Arabidopsis thaliana: one gene and its partners. The protein of the gene in region 3 interacts with the protein of the main gene of each other region in a pairwise test. Each region holds a gene or a part of one and is shown on either strand. Other genes may lie near its edges.

The links.
Region 1: the proteins of CNGC18 (region 3) and LAX3 interact in a protein complementation assay, tested with the Arabidopsis thaliana proteins (one large-scale study listed by BioGRID).
Region 2: the proteins of CNGC18 (region 3) and MLO7 interact in a protein complementation assay, tested with the Arabidopsis thaliana proteins (one large-scale study listed by BioGRID).
Region 4: the proteins of CNGC18 (region 3) and AT2G18480 interact in a protein complementation assay, tested with the Arabidopsis thaliana proteins (one large-scale study listed by BioGRID).

The regions. Positions count from the first base shown.
Region 1 is NC_003070.9:29,199,908-29,205,229, reverse strand, and holds LAX3 (uncharacterized protein), read left to right. Parts: upstream 1-1,811; 5' UTR 1,812-1,912; coding exon 1,913-2,083; intron 2,084-2,165; coding exon 2,166-2,351; intron 2,352-2,454; coding exon 2,455-2,567; intron 2,568-2,650; coding exon 2,651-2,834; intron 2,835-2,934; coding exon 2,935-3,032; intron 3,033-3,121; coding exon 3,122-3,587; intron 3,588-3,803; coding exon 3,804-3,998; 3' UTR 3,999-4,813; downstream 4,814-5,322. Other genes in the region: AT1G77700 (Pathogenesis-related thaumatin superfamily protein), read right to left, coding at 1-82, 408-483. UniProt on the Arabidopsis thaliana protein: Carrier protein involved in proton-driven auxin influx.
Region 2 is NC_003071.7:7,566,178-7,571,412, forward strand, and holds MLO7 (Seven transmembrane MLO family protein), read left to right. Parts: upstream 1-1,840; coding exon 1,841-2,032; intron 2,033-2,122; coding exon 2,123-2,180; intron 2,181-2,253; coding exon 2,254-2,570; intron 2,571-2,650; coding exon 2,651-2,711; intron 2,712-2,794; coding exon 2,795-2,883; intron 2,884-2,970; coding exon 2,971-3,045; intron 3,046-3,130; coding exon 3,131-3,219; intron 3,220-3,313; coding exon 3,314-3,363; intron 3,364-3,431; coding exon 3,432-3,472; intron 3,473-3,540; coding exon 3,541-3,714; intron 3,715-3,837; coding exon 3,838-3,873; intron 3,874-3,948; coding exon 3,949-4,016; intron 4,017-4,103; coding exon 4,104-4,164; intron 4,165-4,263; coding exon 4,264-4,581; 3' UTR 4,582-4,735; downstream 4,736-5,235. Other genes in the region: NTRA (NADPH-dependent thioredoxin reductase A), read left to right, coding at 1-42; PIRL5 (plant intracellular ras group-related LRR 5), read left to right, coding at 5,154-5,235.
Region 3 is NC_003076.8:4,807,588-4,812,771, forward strand, and holds CNGC18 (cyclic nucleotide-gated channel 18), read right to left. Parts: upstream 3,507-5,184; 5' UTR 3,311-3,506; coding exon 2,846-3,310; intron 2,685-2,845; coding exon 2,472-2,684; intron 2,388-2,471; coding exon 2,077-2,387; intron 2,001-2,076; coding exon 1,889-2,000; intron 1,786-1,888; coding exon 1,549-1,785; intron 1,464-1,548; coding exon 681-1,463; 3' UTR 504-680; downstream 1-503. Other genes in the region: AT5G14860 (UDP-Glycosyltransferase superfamily protein), read left to right, coding at 1-172. UniProt on the Arabidopsis thaliana protein: Cyclic nucleotide-gated ion channel required for directional pollen tube growth into the transmitting tract. Acts as a Ca(2+)-permeable divalent cation-selective channel inhibited by either lanthanum or gadolinium.
Region 4 is NC_003071.7:8,008,567-8,013,244, forward strand, and holds AT2G18480 (Major facilitator superfamily protein), read right to left. Parts: upstream 2,712-4,678; 5' UTR 2,678-2,711; coding exon 2,563-2,677; intron 2,428-2,562; coding exon 1,016-2,427; 3' UTR 535-1,015; downstream 1-534. UniProt on the Arabidopsis thaliana protein: Plasma membrane sugar-proton symporter.

The DNA of each region.
Region 1 (5,322 bases), on a different chromosome or scaffold from region 3:
AACCGAAACGAATTGGCATCTTTACTAGAAAATATTTTAGGATCAAATGTAATGTTATTTTCTGATCTTGAAGTGAGACTGGCTTTTTAAGGGAGGAAGAAAGAATAACTTGCATGGAGAGTCTATCGGTACAATTATAATAATCGGTTGTAGTACTATATGTGTTTTCAAATAATTAAGGTTCCTTGTTTTGGAATATGGGAAAGAGTTAGTTAGTGTTATTCGTTTCCTGATGTTTCATGCAAGTATTCTTTGGGATGCTGTTAAGGTAATCAAAGTCCAAATGGCCAAGGATCTATACTGTATGTGGCTTTTTATCTGTCTATTTGTATCTTCTATTATTGAATTTGGATAATCTTGTTGATATTGATTATTTTAGCCTTCATGTCATGGGTCAATTCATCTACCTACTGATATATTAGGCCTAATTAATGAATCATATGGCCCATTTATGTCGAACTCAATCTCAATTGTTCGGTCCATTCTTATATTCTGCTTTTTGAATATTACACCATTAATAAATTTGTATAGTCATGATCCTTTTTTTGGTTAAACAGATTTTCTGACGAAGATAAATTGATGAAAATCAAAACAAATCTCACAATCTTTGTCGTTATGGGAACCATCTGTAACCATCCAGTAGAATCGAGTTCCTGGTTTCAAGATGTCAAATTATTTAACTACAATGACTCGCCATTTTTTCAGTATTATTACCAATGATATCTGAATATCTGCTCTATTTAGGGACGACAATATTATATCTTTTGGAGATATCTCAATAGCCTAAATAAGGTTGAATCACAAAAAAAAAAAAAAAAAAAAAAACATTTGAAAATGCATATTTTAATGTCAATTGGCGATGAGTCTTCTTTCCGCTGCCATCCATTTTGGCCGGGTTAAAAAGCTATAAAGATCTAAAATGATGATACCTTCTCATTAATAATTCGATCCATTGTAAAAGTATGGGGCTAAAAAGGAGACATTTCTAAGAAATTAGTGAGTTAAATAAAGCTTAGACAGCTAGACACGTGTGGTAATTATGTTTACCACTAATCCCACCTGATTAGCAATCATTCTTTCCATTGGATCCATCTCCAATCCTCGATTACCTCACAAATCACTATTTCTTCCTCTCTTTTAACCAAGTTTTTCTACTTCTAAATCAAGCGTTTGGATGTGCGATGCCATATGGTAGACAAAGGCATAAATTTATGTAATTTCGAGTTCCAGGTAACAGCTATGTAATATAATCGGACAAAACATAAAAACTTAGAAATATAATTGATTATTCTACATAAAGATCGTTATCATCCTCATCACAAGAAGGAGGAAAGGACCAATATGTTTTATTCATTGTTTCTAGTTGTTACAATCATCATGATTCAAATAATTGTTAATGATAATAATAGTTTAGCCTTTCTTTCAAAAAAAAAAAACATCATTGTCATCACTTCTATTTTCAATTTACAATTAGTCTACTCTCACTACTTTAAACTTTAAAATCTATAATTAGCTAACCCTCTTTTTTTGCATATTATCGGGGTCAATATATAATTAACAATCTCAAACCGGGCCTACCCGTTCGTGTAATGCTCCAGAAATATGGCCCATAAGCCCAACAATCAAATCAAGCCCATTAAAAAAACAACGCCACGCTCGCCGAAAACAGTAACAGTCACAAGTAGGTGACATAACTCAGTCACCAACCAATCATAAACCGATATCCCCATGACAACTCGTGAGCTGTGACTAAAGACTTCGTCCCCCGACACTCGTTACTCAATAATTGCACACAGAGCAAAAGAAAGGAAACAAAACCCATAAAACAAATAAATAAATGAAAAAGCTTTTCACTAGTCTATTTAAAGAGTGGAAGTAAAGAAGCTAAAGAAACTGAGAGAAGAAGAGAAAAATGGCGGCAGAGAAAATAGAGACAGTGGTCGCAGGGAATTACTTAGAAATGGAGAGGGAAGAAGAAAACATAAGTGGTAACAAGAAATCTTCAACTAAAACAAAACTCTCTAATTTCTTCTGGCATGGTGGTTCTGTCTACGATGCTTGGTTTAGTTGTGCTTCAAATCAGGTATGTACTTCCCACAGATTTAGTCTTATATATAGATGTGTATGTATCGTCTTCTATAGCTAAATTGTTATAAAAATGGCAGGTGGCACAAGTTCTGTTGACATTACCATACTCGTTCTCACAACTTGGGATGATGTCGGGAATTTTGTTTCAACTCTTTTATGGATTAATGGGAAGTTGGACTGCTTATCTCATTAGTGTTCTTTACGTTGAATATCGAACTCGTAAAGAACGAGAAAAATTCGATTTCCGTAACCACGTTATTCAGGTTTTATTCCACCTCTAATTCTTGTGACTCGTTATAATTTTTTATTTTTTTGGTGGTATTATTGAATTTTAACTTTTTGTTTTTTTTTGTTTGTGTAAAAAAGTGGTTTGAGGTGTTAGATGGATTGTTGGGGAAACATTGGAGGAACCTTGGATTGATCTTTAACTGCACTTTTCTTCTCTTTGGATCTGTTATTCAGCTCATTGCTTGTGCTAGGTAAATTAATAATCAATGTTCATTTTCTTTATTATATGGTTTTTTCATATTGAAAATTAATTAATATAAAAAATGATTTGCAGCAATATATATTATATTAATGACAAATTGGACAAGAGGACATGGACATACATATTTGGGGCGTGCTGTGCAACAACTGTTTTTATTCCTTCCTTCCACAATTATAGAATTTGGTCATTCCTCGGACTCGCTATGACCACTTACACTTCTTGGTATCTCACCATTGCTTCACTCCTTCATGGCCAGGTCATTATAATTAACACAAATCTTGTTTTGATTATTATAAGATATAGACATATAGTCCTGGTTATTGTTGTTTAATATATTTATTTTTCATATAAAAAAGGCTGAGGATGTGAAACACTCTGGTCCAACCACAATGGTGCTTTACTTCACCGGAGCCACCAACATTCTCTACACCTTTGGTGGCCACGCCGTCACAGTGTAAGTATTTTTTTTTTGTTTGGAAAAATAAAATGGCTTAATTAATGGCTTAACTAATTATGTATTGGAAATTTGAAAAAATATAATAGGGAGATAATGCACGCTATGTGGAAACCGCAAAAGTTCAAGGCGATATATCTACTAGCGACCATATATGTACTAACGCTAACGCTACCATCCGCGTCTGCGGTTTATTGGGCGTTTGGCGATAAGCTACTAACTCATTCCAATGCGCTCTCTCTTCTCCCTAAGACTGGTTTTAGAGATACCGCAGTGATCCTCATGCTCATTCATCAATTTATAACGTTCGGATTCGCGTCTACACCGTTATATTTTGTGTGGGAGAAATTGATAGGTGTGCATGAGACGAAGAGCATGTTCAAAAGAGCCATGGCTAGATTACCCGTGGTTGTACCCATATGGTTCTTAGCCATTATCTTCCCCTTTTTCGGACCAATCAATTCCGCGGTCGGATCTCTCTTAGTTAGCTTCACTGTCTACATCATCCCCGCATTGGCTCATATGCTTACCTTTGCTCCTGCTCCTTCAAGAGAGGTTAGATTTCCAACTTCCAAAATATCTATTTTAAAATTATAATTGTTTCATAAAAAGCTTGTTACAATTTTAGTATAAGTTTACAAAGAATAATTGGAAATAGTATATTATTAGTTTATATTAAAATTATTATATAGTATCATAGATTATGTAAAAATAGCTAAAATAATATTTTGGTATATCTAATTTTTGTTAAGTTTGATATATCGTAAATAGAATGCGGTGGAGAGGCCACCGAGAGTGGTAGGAGGATGGATGGGGACTTACTGCATAAACATATTTGTGGTGGTTTGGGTATTCGTAGTTGGGTTCGGGTTTGGAGGATGGGCAAGTATGGTCAACTTTGTTCGCCAGATCGACACTTTTGGTCTCTTTACCAAATGCTACCAATGCCCTCCTCACAAGCCATGATATACAAATTTGCCATTCAAGACCTTCTAGAAAGAGAGTTTCATATAAGGGGGTTTTGATTTCGAGATCTAATATATATAAGTTACTACATCCAATTTTTTTTTAGTATTTATTAAAAATCACATCTCTTTGTAATTGTTTGACGACAATAATCTTTTACCTCGGGTTTGTTTAATTTGTTATGTTGAGTTATTTTTGGTAAATTGGGTTTTTTTTGTTCCTTAGTTAAGGTGTGATGGCTATCTTAGGCCAACCCTATTATTATTTAGTGTTCTTCTATAGCTCAAGAAAGTTTCATGTGTGTTTTGTGTTTAATGATCTCGTTATTCTCTTTTACTGAGATTTAATTTCATCGTCATTTGAAGTGCACTGAGTTTTTGATGAAAATTGACTATAAATTCTGCGATCAGTCCAAATGAAATGATATGGAAATACATGATTTAAAATCATACAACCTCGTGCATCTATACTCTATAGTAAAATAAATTTATGTGGGTAAGATTATGAGAGTTTTATTTTAGAATACATTAGATTATCTTTGAAGCAATCAAATATTGATCTAAATTAACTTTTTTTCTTCTGAATGTGAGTGATCCCGATCTGAATCCATCATGGGCAAATTAGCATCACATCACAAAAAGGGAAATGAAAGGCGTATCTTTATAAAAGAAGCAAAAGGCAATGGCAGGCTCTGTGTCAGTGTTGTTAGTACATAATTAGGCAGACTTTTTACACCAATTGATTCAATGGTTGGTGCTTGGTAAAGTCAAATAACTGATCAATCACATATGATTATTCGTTTAGTTAGATCATTTTTAAATAAAACCAAAATTGGTTACAAATTTTGATAGATGTATCACAAACAAAACAAAAATAAAGATGAAATAGTAATTCATCGCGATATCATCATTGAATAAAAACAATCAGAGAAGTAAACATATATTAGAAAAAAAACTTAAAGATGCAATAGTCATAGAAAACTCTAAAAGATCATTTAAATGAAACTAGTACTTAATACACTGCTCTTGTTAGTTCATGATTTGAACTAGTTTTCATATGACGTAATTAAGGAACAAGGTAGACAACAACAACAACATAAGCGATATATCGATATAGCTCGTAATAATTAAGTTGGAACAAACTCACTATCATAGTACCATGTCTACCCGAAAACTGACATTTGGGTTGAGTTTGCGAGATGGTTACATTTGACTAACAACTTCATATTATTATTAGGTACTATCGAAAATGAAACCTTTTTGGGGGTCAAAATCCAAAAAAAATGAAAATCAGTTTTTAAAAAAGCATTTAAACTCATAAAAAT
Region 2 (5,235 bases), on a different chromosome or scaffold from region 3:
TACTTACAAGAGATTGGATCTCAGGAGGGTAAGAGTGATTGAAGAAGCTGTAGGAGAAGGATCCATGATAAAATCACTCTCTCTCCACCTTATTTGCTTTGCCATTTTTATAACCAATAAAGGATCAGATTGATCTCATACAGACAAATCTGAATAGAATTTTGTTATTTGCATTTGTTTGCAGTTGGATTTTGTGCCAAGTTGTAAACTCTTTAGTTGTCACAGCTTCCACCAAATTCATCTTTTAAGATTTGTTCCTCAGGTGAGAGGACTTTTTCATACTTTAATTCTCTTTTTATTTGATTATGTAATCACAATTAAAAGTGGCATATATGGATTGGAGTTTCTAGAGCTCAAGAAATATACGAAACACTAGATTTTAACCCGCGGTACACCGCGGAACTATTTATTTTATTAAAAGTAACTAAAAATATATTATTTTATAAATTATCTATATGTAACATATTGTTTTGTATTTTATAAATATATAATCCTAATTTCTATATATTGTACAATCCCTTGATTTTATCATGGAATACACCGTAAGTCGATTTTTAAAATTTAAAATTTAAAATTATATATGATTTTTGTTAAGATTGTTTCTTTTGTCATATATTTTAAATTATATCATTGTATTTTAATTGTTAGTTATACGATTTCACCCGTTGTATAACGTGTCGTATTACTATAAACTCAAACCCGTCTGACCATCTTATTCCGTTCAATGAAATTAAACATATTTAATGGATTTCATCCTAGGTATACTGTCTCATATTACTATCAACTCAAACCCGTCCTACCATCTAACCCCGTTCAATAAAATTAAATATTATTTTATTATTTTTGTTTTAATAATACTTTAATTTTAAATATATATAATTCAAATCAATTTCAAACTTTTTATTTTAAATGGTTATTTAATTGTTATAATTTATAAAGTTCATATATTTTAATATTTTAAACCTGTCATACCATCTAATCCTGTTCGGTGAAATTAAACATTATTTTTTAATTTTTTGTTTAAATAATATTTTTATTAAAAGATTTATAATTCAAATAAATTTAAAATGTGTCTTTCAAATAGTTATTTGATTTTTATAGATTTCACATTTAAAATATTTCTCTATATGTAACATATAGTTTTGTATTTTATAAATATTATAAACGTTTTATAAACTTTAAATAATTACAATATTTACCTTTTAATAAAGTATAATATTAATAATCATTTAAATAATCATGTGTAGCTAATTTTAAGGGATTTGATTTAAAGTTTGTTGTTTGGATTAAATTTGAATGAATAATGTGATTGATATATTAAATCAAGAATTAAAAATTAAATCAAATAATTAAGGGAAAAAAAAATAATGCCAATGGCATGCCATTATAAATAAGTGTCAAGTAGAAAATTTATTTGCTAAAATGGTTGCAAAAATATATATGTAGATTGGTTACTTCTTCACCACTATCAATATTTCAACAATGTCCAAATAATCAAAAACATGAACGATTAGCAGTTTCACTAGTTTGTGTTTTTGCAAATATGTACAAGTCAAATGTTCTTAATATGTGTAATTAGGTTTTGCTAATGTAACTTTCATTGATTAAATGAGATGAGTTACAAAACTAAACTACACTGTTCTTTTCATTTTGTCAACACTCAAAGTACTACACCAGTGGTTTTAAATGATACTTTTAATCTCATAAGTCAAACGAAAACCAATTCTTTATCTAATACTATAACTTATGTTATACACGTAGTAATTAAAGAAGCACTAACATAAGTTTGATTCTCTACGTTAGTATCTTCTATGTTTCTCACCTCTCATTTCCTTCACTCATGATCACAAGAAGCAGGTGTCGAAGATCTTTGTTATGGTTTCTAGTGTTCCATGGCGGAGCTACAGCCACCGGAGCTCCCTCTGGTGGGAAAGAGCTTTCTCAGACGCCTACTTGGGCAGTCGCCGTCGTCTGCACCTTTCTCATCCTCATTTCCCATCTCCTTGAAAAGGGTCTTCAAAGACTCGCCAACGTCTGCTTTCTTCTTCTTCTTCTTCTTTTCTTACGAGTGTTCTTGTTCAAACATTCATTGTCTGAAACATATGAATTTGTTTCTTCTCAGTGGCTATGGAAGAAGCATAAAAACTCTCTCCTTGAAGCCTTAGAGAAAATCAAAGCTGGTAAGTGAGCATATAGCCTTGGTTTTCTTAAATCTTTTTGGTTTTGGTTTTTAAATGGTGACTGATTCTACAGAGCTGATGATCCTTGGATTCATTTCTTTATTACTCACTTTTGGAGAACCATATATTCTCAAGATCTGTGTTCCTCGAAAAGCTGCTCTCTCTATGTTACCTTGTTTATCTGAAGACACAGTGCTTTTCCAGAAACTTGCTCCATCATCTCTTAGCAGGCATCTTTTGGCTGCTGGTGATACATCTATTAATTGCAAACAAGGATCTGAGCCACTCATAACATTGAAAGGCTTGCACCAACTTCACATCTTGTTGTTCTTCTTGGCCATCTTTCATATCGTATATAGTTTAATCACCATGATGCTTAGCAGGCTCAAGGTACCATAAATTCTAGTTTTGATCAAAACTTTGTTTGATATAGTGAATAAGTGCTTCATTTTTTGTTGGATTTTTGGCAGATTCGTGGATGGAAAAAGTGGGAGCAAGAGACATTATCTAATGACTATGAGTTTTCTATTGGTACTTTGTTCATCAGATTCTGTTTTGTACCCCTGAACTGAAGTGTTGTTCTTTTACAGACTTACTTCTGTTCTGTGGTGCAGATCATTCAAGACTTAGGCTCACTCATGAGACTTCTTTTGTGAGAGAACATACAAGTTTCTGGACAACAACTCCTTTCTTCTTTTACGTCGTAAAGAAACCATTTCTCTCATTCTTCATCTCTTTCAAATGATCAAAATGATCTTCATTCGATTTATTATATGCTCTTTGGTTACAGGGATGCTTCTTTAGGCAGTTCTTTGTATCTGTTGAAAGAACCGACTACTTGACTCTGCGCCATGGATTCATCTCTGTGAGTTTTTTTTTCTAAATCTTCCATCTCTCCATTTCCTTCTATCTCAATCTTGATATGTGATTTTCGTGATGTTTTGATTCAGGCCCATTTAGCTCCAGGAAGAAAGTTCAACTTCCAGAGATATATCAAAAGATCTCTCGAGGATGATTTCAAGTTGGTAGTTGGAATAAGGTTACAACACAATCAAATCATCAAATGCAAATGAAACCGGTCTTACATAATCCGGTCGTATATAACAGTTTTAACAAATTGTTTTGCTCTGCAGTCCAGTTCTTTGGGCATCATTTGTAATCTTCTTGCTGTTCAATGTTAATGGTGAGCTAAATTTATATCTTTAAATTTAAATTCAATTCACATACTGAAGTCTTTCTATTCAATTCTAGGCTGGAGAACATTGTTTTGGGCATCGATACCTCCTCTACTCGTAAGACAATCTCTCCCTCTAATACATCTTCTTGAAAGTTTCTTGATGAACAATAAGTATTTTTGCAGATAATCCTAGCTGTTGGAACAAAGCTTCAAGCAATTATGGCAACAATGGCGCTAGAAATCGTAGAGACACATGCAGTAGTTCAGGGGATGCCTTTAGTGCAAGGTTCAGATCGATACTTTTGGTTCGACTGTCCTCAACTACTTCTTCATCTTATCCACTTTGCCTTGTTTCAGGTAATTATGAAAACATCTTCTCCTTGATTTCATTCTTGAACTAACATGTTTTCGCAGATTCTGTCTTCTTCTAGTAATGTTTCTCTCTCTAACCGGTAAATTTATTTCCTCTGTGTTATGCAGAATGCTTTCCAGATAACACACTTCTTCTGGATATGGGTAAAGAAACATCTATTCTTACTTTGGTGTTATAGAATGATGTTACTGAGTAACATCTATTACTGGCATTTGCAGTATTCTTTTGGATTAAAATCATGCTTCCATAAAGATTTCAATCTTGTAGTCAGCAAACTCTTTCTATGGTAAAAAGCTTATTCATAAACTTACTTATATTATAGAGGAAAAGTATTTAAAAACATGTGAGGATGTATGTATGTATGTATGTGCAGCCTAGGAGCTTTGATCTTATGCAGCTACATCACTCTCCCATTGTACGCCCTCGTTACTCAGGTAATTAACTTGTAAACAACAGTTTTCGATCGATATTTTAGTCGAATGGTCTATTGAAGGAAAGAAAATAGAGAGATGATGAAATGGTGTGTGGAGCAGATGGGTTCACACATGAAGAAAGCAGTGTTTGATGAGCAAATGGCAAAGGCATTGAAGAAGTGGCACAAAGACATCAAATTGAAGAAAGGTAAAGCGAGGAAGCTCCCGAGCAAGACACTTGGTGTTTCAGAGAGTTTCAGCCTCTCTTCCTCTTCCTCTGCAACCACTCTTCACCGTTCCAAGACCACTGGTCACTCTTCTAACATCATATACTACAAACAAGAAGATGAAGAAGACGAAATGTCTGATCTTGAAGCTGGAGCAGAGGATGCTATTGACAGGATTCAACAACAGGAGATGCAATTCCACAACTCTTAGCTGCTTTAGTTTCTTCTGTTGTTACTTCATAGTTCAAATGAAACGATGCTGTTTACTAACTTAGTCAGGAAACTATTGTCGTACAAGTGTTTCTTTAATGTGTTACTACGTTTAAGCCAATATAGATATCTAATAACTTGTCCTAAACTAAATAACTCGCACTACATGATCATTGTTATTATTAATATAGATTTATTTCGATTTGAAAAATCCTAACACGACATGATCATGTTTTCTTCTTCTCCTTATTATATGTGATCCGTATCAAATACTTAATCATTGTTTACGTCAATGCTTGACATTAACAAAATTATCATTAAGCTAAACAGATAAGGACGCGAGAGATAGAGATAGATAGTGACTAATATTTTTGAATTATTTAATGCAGTTTGAGAGAAAGAGACGAGGAAGAAGAAGAAGAAGAAGAAAGGAAGTGACGAAGAAAGAATGAGAAGACGAAGAAAGAGAAAACAAGATCCGATTCAAAATATGGAAACTTGAATATCTTCTTCTTCTTCTTCCTTCTCCTTTCTCATCTCTCACTTTGAGGGTGAATTTTGATTTTGTAGAAAATGGATTCGAAGGAGATGGTTGTGGAAGAAATCATGAGAATTCACAGATCTCTACCATTGAGACCAGAGATCGACGATGTAG
Region 3 (5,184 bases):
AGAGATGGGGAAGACAACGATGAAGAATGTAAAAGAGTATGCGAAAATGGCGAAAAAAGCTATGGCTCAAGGGACTGGTTCGTCTTGGAAGAGTTTGGATTCGCTTCTGGAAGAGCTTTGTAAGAGTAGAGAGCCAGACGGTGTTAATAAGTTGTCAAGTTCTGATGCTTAGAGAGATTAAGGATTGGATAACAAAACGGCTTCGTACCTAATTTTAGTCATTAAATATGTTAGGTTTGTTGAAAAGTTGGTCCATTCTTCTCAATTGGATATGAATGACTAATTTGGAGTTCTAATTCTTGGTTTTGGTCTTATAGTTTCAAAAAATTTCAATTGCATTCAGTGGTTGCTTTATGAGATTTTTGCTATCTTTGAGGTTAATATTGGCTGGTCAATCCGAAGAAGCTATCAACACCTTAGTGTTCTTCTGAAAGACTTAAAAATGAGTTTGTATGCAAAAGTAGTATCTACTATGAGAAGAAATCAGACTATATAACATTGAGACAGTTTAAGAACAATGTATTTTTACTCTACACTCGTTTTCTATATCTAACATCCTCAAACCGAAACGAAAAGAAAAGAAAAATTACAAGTTGAAATAATTAAGGGAGTTTCCTAACTATTTACCATCTAAAACCAAACAGTTCACACAAAAGTTTTTTGCCCATAATGACTACACTTTAAACGTCTTCTTTATCTATAGAGAAATCAGGCTCATCTGGTTTGAATAGTTGAGGCATCTTCAAACTGGTGGAAGATCCATCTTTCTTACCAGTACTACTACTTGAAGCCTTTTGATTTGTTCCTCTTCTCGTGTTCGCCGCAAATTTAGATGCTAAGATCGTTGCTCCCAGATTTGTGTTGTCCATTGATCCGCCTTCCTCGTCACTTCCATAGTAATACTCTCTAGTTTCTTCGTCTTCTTCATTGTAACCTGTTTCATCCGGGTAATAGTATCCGCTACTCTCGTGAAGGCTGAGCTCTTTCGCAAGCTTTCTTCGCTTGTATCTTCTCCATGCAGATTGGACAAAACATGCTCCCCATGCTCTCCATTGATGTGAGTAGTACCTGAAAGCGTGTTGAAGCTTTTTGCTTTGAAGACGTTTGAACTGATGAGCAACAAACTTAAGATCCTCTGCGCTTAATGCAAAGGCTTCTACTTCAGAGAGGGCACGGACGCTTCGTGTTGAAGACGGAAGATTGAGTGTAGAGTTTGGCATTAAGGCCCATGTAAGAAGTTCTTCCCCACAGAAATCGCCAGGTCGTAGAGTAGTGGAGTTGAAGAAACCAGATCTTCCTCCATTTGTTGTTGAGCTCTCTATTTGTCCTCGGATCACAAATAGCATCTCATTCACCGGATCACCTTCACGGAATATGTATGTCCCGGCCGTGCTTAAAGATGAGACAAGGCATCCGCATATAGCATCAAGAAGTTGATCATCCATTTGAGAGAAGAACGGGACCTGCACTTACCACAACAATGTGACTTCTGAATTGAAAAACAATCAAATCCATAACAGTTTTTGATGACTGAGTTGATGTATGTACCCGGCGAACAAGGGAGAGACAAAGATGACGTTGGATTTCACGGCGTAAATCTGTAGGTAATGAATGGAGGATTGATTCTTCATCGACACCTCTGGTTGCAAGCCATTTGTATTGGACAAATCTTCGGACACGTTCTTGAAGCTCTGGAGGTAGTTGACGATGTCTCATCCATTCTTCAGTGTCTCTTCTCTTAACTCTCCATTCCTCAACTCTTACTGACATCGATTGCAGAGAAGACTTTCCACCAAATTAAAAATCATGAAGTCTATTGTTAGAAAGACAAAAAAATGTCTCTGTATTGAAAAGTTTTGCAGAGTGATGCATAAGCTCTGAATCTTACTTGCATGTTACCAATCAGGAGTGTGAAGAGAATCAACCCAAAAATACAAATTGTTATACAGAACAAGGTCTCGCCAAGGTATACACTTGTGGTTATATTCTGTCCATAAGAACTGTGAAACAAAACCTTTATTAAAACCAAAGGAGGACAATTTAAGCAGATACTGGTTAGATAAAAGGTTGTCATACCTTAGATTTCTTAAACCCCACCAAAGACAATACAAGTACTTGGACACAAAATCTGTTGTAGCAACTTGAGTGGTAAAGGCTTCAGCAAACATTCCGAATTTGAAATTGGTAGTGCTGCTTGTAGCATCACAATGAGAAAGGACCTGAGTAACGTTCTGCCAATACTGGCGCTCTGGTTGTTCTAAACTCTTGCAATCCAAGAAGCTAGGAAGACAATCCAAAACTCTCAAAGCGTTGTCTTTCTTGCATACGTTGGACCAGCACGAAAACTGCCGCCCGATTGATGACAGATACCACATTGCTCCTAACACCTGCCCACAAATAGAGATTCTTAGCAACTTAAAACTGAAGAAACCTAAAGATTTGAAAAAACACACAAGATAAAGAAAACTTACGTGACTAGCAAGGATGTACAATAGGAGGTTGTATGCAGCTCCTGCCCAAGCAGTCTTGGCGATAAACCCGGTTGTTTTGATAATCCTTTGGTTGAGTGGGAATATGATGAATGATCTTGGAATGTATTGAACAAGAACGATAAGTGCGAGAGTGCTATTGGCATGATTAGCAGTTCCATTTGTGGCCGCTGGAATTACTAGCCAAATAACAAGCTGAGATCAAAAGATAGTCAGAAACAAAGCATGAGGCTCCCAAAATATCTCTGTTCTTTAATCTTCTAGCTACCGCCTAACGATTTTTGAACATTGATCTTAGCTAATCGTAATCCATATCATTGCTTTCACATTCAAAATAAGAGCAAAATCTTAAGAACCTGAGGAAGGGGAAGCATGGCGGCGACATCAATGAGGAAATCTGTCTTCAAGTATCTCATAGCAATCTCTCTAGAATCCATAACAAGCTCACCGCGACCAAAAACACGAGAACTCCTCGCGACGAACGCAGTTCTGAATTTCATGAAAATGTGCAAGAGGTGGAAGATATCGGCGACTGTACGGAAGAAAGTGACAGTAGCGGCGAGGCTGATGTCGATGGAGAGACACGCCGGACCACCGACGTAAGGGACGTAGAAATAGAAAGGATCGAGGAAGAGAGCGAGGATTGAGGTAATGAGAAAGACGTGGTTCCAATAGGTGACGATGTTGCTGTCCGGGTCCAGGATCTGATGCCGCCATAGGACGCTGAATTGGCTACCGTCAGATCCTCGATTTGAGGCGGCGGTGGAGGCGGAGGTTATGGTCTCCGGGAGGAGGCAGCGGAGAGACCGGATTTTATTCATCTTCCATGGCGGATTCCGGTGTTAAATCGGATTCCGCATTAACACAGAGAGAGATTGAGATTGATGGACAGAGAGGCTAGGTGGTTGCGTCGTGTGATTTTTTGTTTTTTTGGGTTTTTGCATTTTGTTTTTGATGATTATGGAAGAAGGAGAGGATTTCTCGCGGGAAAACTGAGAGAAGGGCCATGGAAATAGGGGGAAGGGTAGTTTTTGAAAATATGATGGGAGAATGAGGGTATTTACGGAATGTTATAGTTGCGGGTCTCGTTTGTTTATGCTGTTTTTGTGTTCTCAAAACAGCACACGTTTTGCATCTCAAAACTTCAATCGACACAATATCTACTGTTCTTAGTTGTTGGACCCACCGGCCCAATAGTTATAGATCGGCCCAATAGTTATTTTTTTCTACTTTTTTTCTATGAAAATCAAAGGGATATATACTATATATGCTTTAGGATTTTAAAATTACACATTATAATGTATACAATTGCTATGATCATTTCTATTGATAAACTAATAATGTTTTTAGTAGTTTTAACTTAAAGTCCGGTTTAATATTGTTTAGTTCAATTGTTCAAAGAATAAAAAAAAAAATTATAATTAATTCGTAAAACCATGATAAGATTAGTTAAAATATCTAATTCGTTATGAGGTTCATTAGAATTTATTTAAGTGAATTATTGAAGTTTTATGAGCTACATTTATTATATTTTGTCAACACATTAAACCCGTAATTCAATTATACTGTCTTTTGTAGTATTTCCGTTTTTGACATCAGTTTAACAAATTGTCTTACATAATTCATTTGTTGTTGTTATGTACTATTAAAAGTATATAGAAGCACGCGTACCAAACATTCTGTGACAATATGTGGTAGTGGGAAGATAGTGTACATGCTTGTTGACACCATCCATAAGATAGTGTACCTATAAAATAACAAAAAGGGAATAGAAATCCTTAGAAACAATTATGCGAATATAAAAGGGATAATAAGAAGTGAGAATAATAAAATGAATACTGAAATTAAAAATTACGTCACGGAAAAATGATGTTTATCCACACAAAAAGAACAACAACTTCCATCATATCATATAGAGGGACATACTAACTTTTCCACTTCCAAAAAATCACACTTATGCGTAATTGTTTTCTCTAACAATAATGACGTATTTTAGTCCTTCAAATTTTAGTACTCCATCATTTTCCGATTAGACACAAAGTAGTAATTTCAATATAAAAAATTAATAACAAGCTTTTATAAATGATTATGATAACTTATACTAACATATGTGACAATATTGTTTTCTCTATGCTTGTTAAACGTAATTAAGAAACAATGATGTTAATTACTCCAACTAATTCATGGATCTAGAAATACGATGTTGGTTAAACATTATTATCGACTAATTTATTACTTCGTTAATGGCTGCTATTAAGTATGACCACGTGTGGCAGATTTGAGATGTTTAGCGATCTTTAAATATAGAATCCGACGGGATCCAATTCTCCTCTTTTTTTTTTATTCCACTTTGCCACTGTGATTATATAATAAGTATGATTAATTAAGAGATTTACATTCTATTGATTTACTTTATTATTTTATTCATGTGGAGTAGACTATACGACAACTACTTTATCGTTACTTTTTAATTTTATTTTTTAGTGAAAATTTGCTAGTCAAGTTTAGAAAATTCAAAATAGCATTTCACTTTTATATGCACGATTGATTTCGTTGCTTATATTAAGATAAGGAAAACAAATGTTACTCTTCCTAAAAAAATTGTTCTTTGAGAATACAATTTACGTGTTCCTCTTTTCAATAAAGTCGCTGGTGTTTATGAAACACACATTAGAAAGAAAAAAAAAAGATTTAA
Region 4 (4,678 bases), on a different chromosome or scaffold from region 3:
ATCCTCTCCTTTCCATCAATTAAACTAAGACTTAAAAACCATGAAGTGATCAATATGTTTTGTTTAAGCACTTTCTGATCTCTGGAAACATTAATATGCATACTCTAGAGTCTAGAATTAGATGTGTAGTTAAAAATCGAACAATTCTTGGTTCACCTTTTCATTCACCTCTTTCAGCCAATTAGAATATGTCACCTAATAAATAAATAAACTCATTTAATTATAAAATCTATAATCTTAACCACTATTTCATAAACTCAAACCGATATATAATTTTGTTTAATTACAAAATTTAAACTCTAATTCTATTTTGTAAATCCAAACCGACATTTAAACTCGATTAATTGTAAAATCTAAACTTAAATCGTTCTTTCTAAAACTCAAACCGACATTTAACCTCATCTAATTGTAAAATCCAAACCCGTTTATAACTCTAAACCGACATTTAACCTCGTTTGATTCTAAAATCTAAAATCGTTTATAAACCTAAACTGGTATTTAACTTCGTTTAATCATAAAATTTAAACTTTAACCCTCTCTTATAAATCCAAACCGATATATGATTTTGTTTTGGTGAACTATTAGATTTTATAATTAAATAATTGTTATTGTTTTTTATTAGGTTGTAGATTCTCATTAGCTACAGTAAAAAGGGATGAATATAAAAATCATACTTTGTCCTTTACAAAAAATCACACCTTATAATAGATATGCCAAATCATGTTGGATTTAAAAATTATTCTACATAGCCATGATAATCTAACCTAATTATTGACTCTCTAAGGGCATCTCCATCCATGAGAAACCCACAAAGTTTCTCAAACAAAAAAAAATTAATATTATATTATAATTTGAATTTTTGATTAAAAAAATATTTTTGTTAAAAAGTTGAACCAATAGTGAGAAGCGAATTGTCATGATGGGTTGTAGAGAGTATCTCAAAGTTTCTGAGAATCTTTCTACACTCTCTCTCCTTCATTTTTATTATTTTTATTTTTTTAATTGTGAGAAACTCTTATGAGAAACCCCCAATAGAGATGGTTTTAGTTTGAATCTCAAGTCCGTCACGATCACCACGAGGACCCCCACCACCAAAAAGCTTCTCCATCTCCTCCAATGGCAATCCTTTCGTCTCCGGCAACATAAAGAAGAAGAACCACCATGCCGCCACCGCTATTCCGGCGAATACGAAGAACACGCCCCCTGTCGTGATCGCCTTCGTCATCGACAGAAAACTCATTGAGACCGTCGCGTTCATGATCCTATTAACCGCAACACCTATACTCGCTCCCTGAGCCCTAAGTCTCAACGGGAATATCTCGGAGCTGTACACCCATGTGATAGGTCCAAGCCCTATGGAGAAAAAAGCTACAAATGCATACGTAGAGACGATGCTTAAACTCAATGCCCACGCTAACCGCCCAAATCGCTGAACCATCGTGAGACTAACCGCTAAACTGGTCAATGCGAAGACCATCCCACCCGTACTGGTCAACAGGAGCTTTCTACGACCTACCTTGTCGAGCAAGAAAGTGGCTATTATTATGAAAAAGGCCTTAGTTAAACCTACACCGACCGTGGCTAGTAAGAGCTTGTCTTTCGAAACAACTCCGGCTTTCTTGAAAATTCTCGGGCTGTACAACACGACGGCCTCAATCCCCGTCGCATGCTCGAAAAAGTGTATCCCAACGGCCGCTATCAAGATCAAACGCACCGCAGGTCGCGGTTTTATCACCAACTCCCTCCAAACACTTTTACCGTGATTCTTCTTCTTAACGCCGCCACCAACTTCTTTTATCTCTGTCACATCTACTTCCGCAGCGGTTAAGATGTCTCTGAACCGTTCTTCAGCTTCTTCTTCCGTATTGGATACCAAAACCATTATTTTCTTGGCTTCTTCTAACCTACCTTGCATCACAAGCCACCTCGGCGACTCGGGCATTCTTGTAATCCCAAAAGCCAATATCAAAGACGGGAACGCTGCGATTCCAAGCATCAATCTCCATCCAAGTTTCAACGTCAGTTTCCCAAAACAGTAATTCGAGACATAGCCTAGTAAAATCCCAAGACTAATACAAAGCTCAGGTAGAGAAGTGAGAAAGCCTCTATGTGACGCAGAGGATATCTCGGCAGAGTAAACCGGAGCTATCATGAGAGCAAACCCTACACCAACTCCGGCAATACATCGTCCGACCATCAAAACAGGATAGTTTGGGCCGTAACCCATAAGAACTGAGCCCACTAAGAATATCACGGCGGAGAGAGCTATGGTGTAACGTCGGCCGATGACGTCAGACGTTTTCCCCGCCGTTAGTGATCCGACGAGTGCACAAAGATTCAAGATTCCGGCCAAAACTTCAATCTGAGTGTCGTTTATTTTTAGATCATCTCTTATAAATATCTGAGCTCCGCTCATAACTCCCGTATCTAAGGACAACACACCATTACAAAAAAAAAAATATTCGTTAATATAAAATCATTAATATAATTCCATTGAATATATCTTTATATGATATATGTAGAAAACTTTTGTTTGATATGTAGAGAATGTTAGTATGTTACCATATCCAAAGATGATAGAAATGATGGAAGCAACAATGGCACACCCGAAAGCGAACTTGTTCATATGAGGGTTTGGATCCGAACCGGGAAAATTATGACCATCAGCATGAACCATGTTGAGTCTTTTTCTTCTCTTTTTTTTTTTTTGGGTTAAATTTTAGAATAACTTGTTATATCGATTGTGTGCATTTACTAGTATATATATACACATAACTATATATGTCCACCACTTGCATCCATAGTGGAACAATGACGATCAAAAACTTCTACTGTTGTTCCACAGTGTTTGTGGGTGCCCACGTATTCTGGTACGAGAATTATATTTCTGCAAGATATGAATTTTCCTCAAGATTTAGACGTATACAACCTGAGAAGTATATCGAGCAAAATAAATTGAAAAGATTTCCAACAAAAAAAAAAAGTAGTGTAATCAGGCAAGTGTTTTAAGTTTTAACCAATACATACGTAAGTTAAAATAATAATTAAAAGGTTACAATGAGTTTAAAAAATGGTTTCGCACACGGTCTTCAAATAATTTGTGACGACCTTCGTTGAACTTGAACTTGGTCTTCTTGTTTTCAATTTTTATTATTTTTTAATAAAGGAAGTGAAGATTTTTATTAGATGCTATGTTACATGTAAACCCGATTATTGTAGTTTTGCAATTGCATGTTACGTATAAAGTTGTTCTCGTGAGTGGAATGCATGAAAAATTGTATGTCGTAAACTATTTATGAAACTCTAAAGCAAAAAGTTTCCGTTGTGAAGTCATATGTATGAGAATTCAGAATTGATCATTCATTATAGTAACATATGCTAGAAGAAGTTATATCCACCATTTTTAAATGGTAGGTCATCAATTTTAATACGATATGACCAAAAATATTGCTAATATTGTAAGTTAAAAGTCGCCATCTTCTTCACTTTCGGCATTTTCCTGATCTATGTTCAATAGTGGCGTAACCTTTAAAGATTCTTTTCCACATTTATATAATTTGGTGAACTAAATTTATACGGTGCATTTATTTTCAGTTGGTTTCTTTTTCTTATTGAAGTGATGAAGTCCAAAATTAAACTTGTTTTGACGAAACAAAAAAACTTGTATCCAACAAAAAGCCGTTGTTCTCAACAGACGAATAATACTATCAGACTATATGTATCATTACATAATGAAATTGATATCTGTTGGGAAAAAACTGATGTGTGATTTGATCAATAAATCAGAACATCATAAGTCATAACGTAACCTATAGCTCTGTTTGTATGTGCAAGATAAACAAAAATGTTTTTGGGTTCCAACTAATGTTCATTTTAGCATGATCGATGGAAAATTCTGAAATTGCCAATTCTATCATTTATATTTTTGTCATATGCTTTGTCAGTTTGGCTGGCCTAGAGTTTTACGTCCAATTAGTCTGTTGAGAACTGTATTTTTGTTTTTCTTACTCGTACGTTGTTGGAATTCTGAAACAAGATGTTATTACGCCTCCAGTATTAAATCAATATTTTACCCCGCTAATTATAACATTATATATCTTGGTGGACTACGTCCAATTTATGTTTAGTCTTTTTTACATTCGCTACTAATAAATTGGTATCATAACTTCGAATTTTCAACATGCTTTTGTAATCTGGTAAGCATACATTTGTAAAATTGTAATGAACATAAGAAGCAATATTGGTGTATTAGAGAGACAATAACTTATTTCAAACTTCTAGTTTTTCTAAATAATTCTTAGTGTATACGTTTTATAGATCTCTAAATCTGTTAGAAGTAAAGGTTTACACATTTAATGGATATACGATATATATATTATTAAAAAAGAAGAAGTAAATCTGGATAATCATCTAGCTAGTATCTATATATATAGTTGGCAAAAACGCTAACCTTTGGGATTTGTATACGTAAATTATGCAAATGCACAAAATCCATGTAAATAGTAAAGTTTTGATATGATTCCTTGAAAGTTATATTTTGGTGAGCTGAAAAAGAAAGATACGTGACGAAAAAGTAGTATTTGATTTGTTTTCTTGAAGAGCATATACCATAATGAGTAACTTACTCAAACAAGTAAATGGCATGCGTTTTTTTCTTTTCACTTTTAATTGAAAAGGC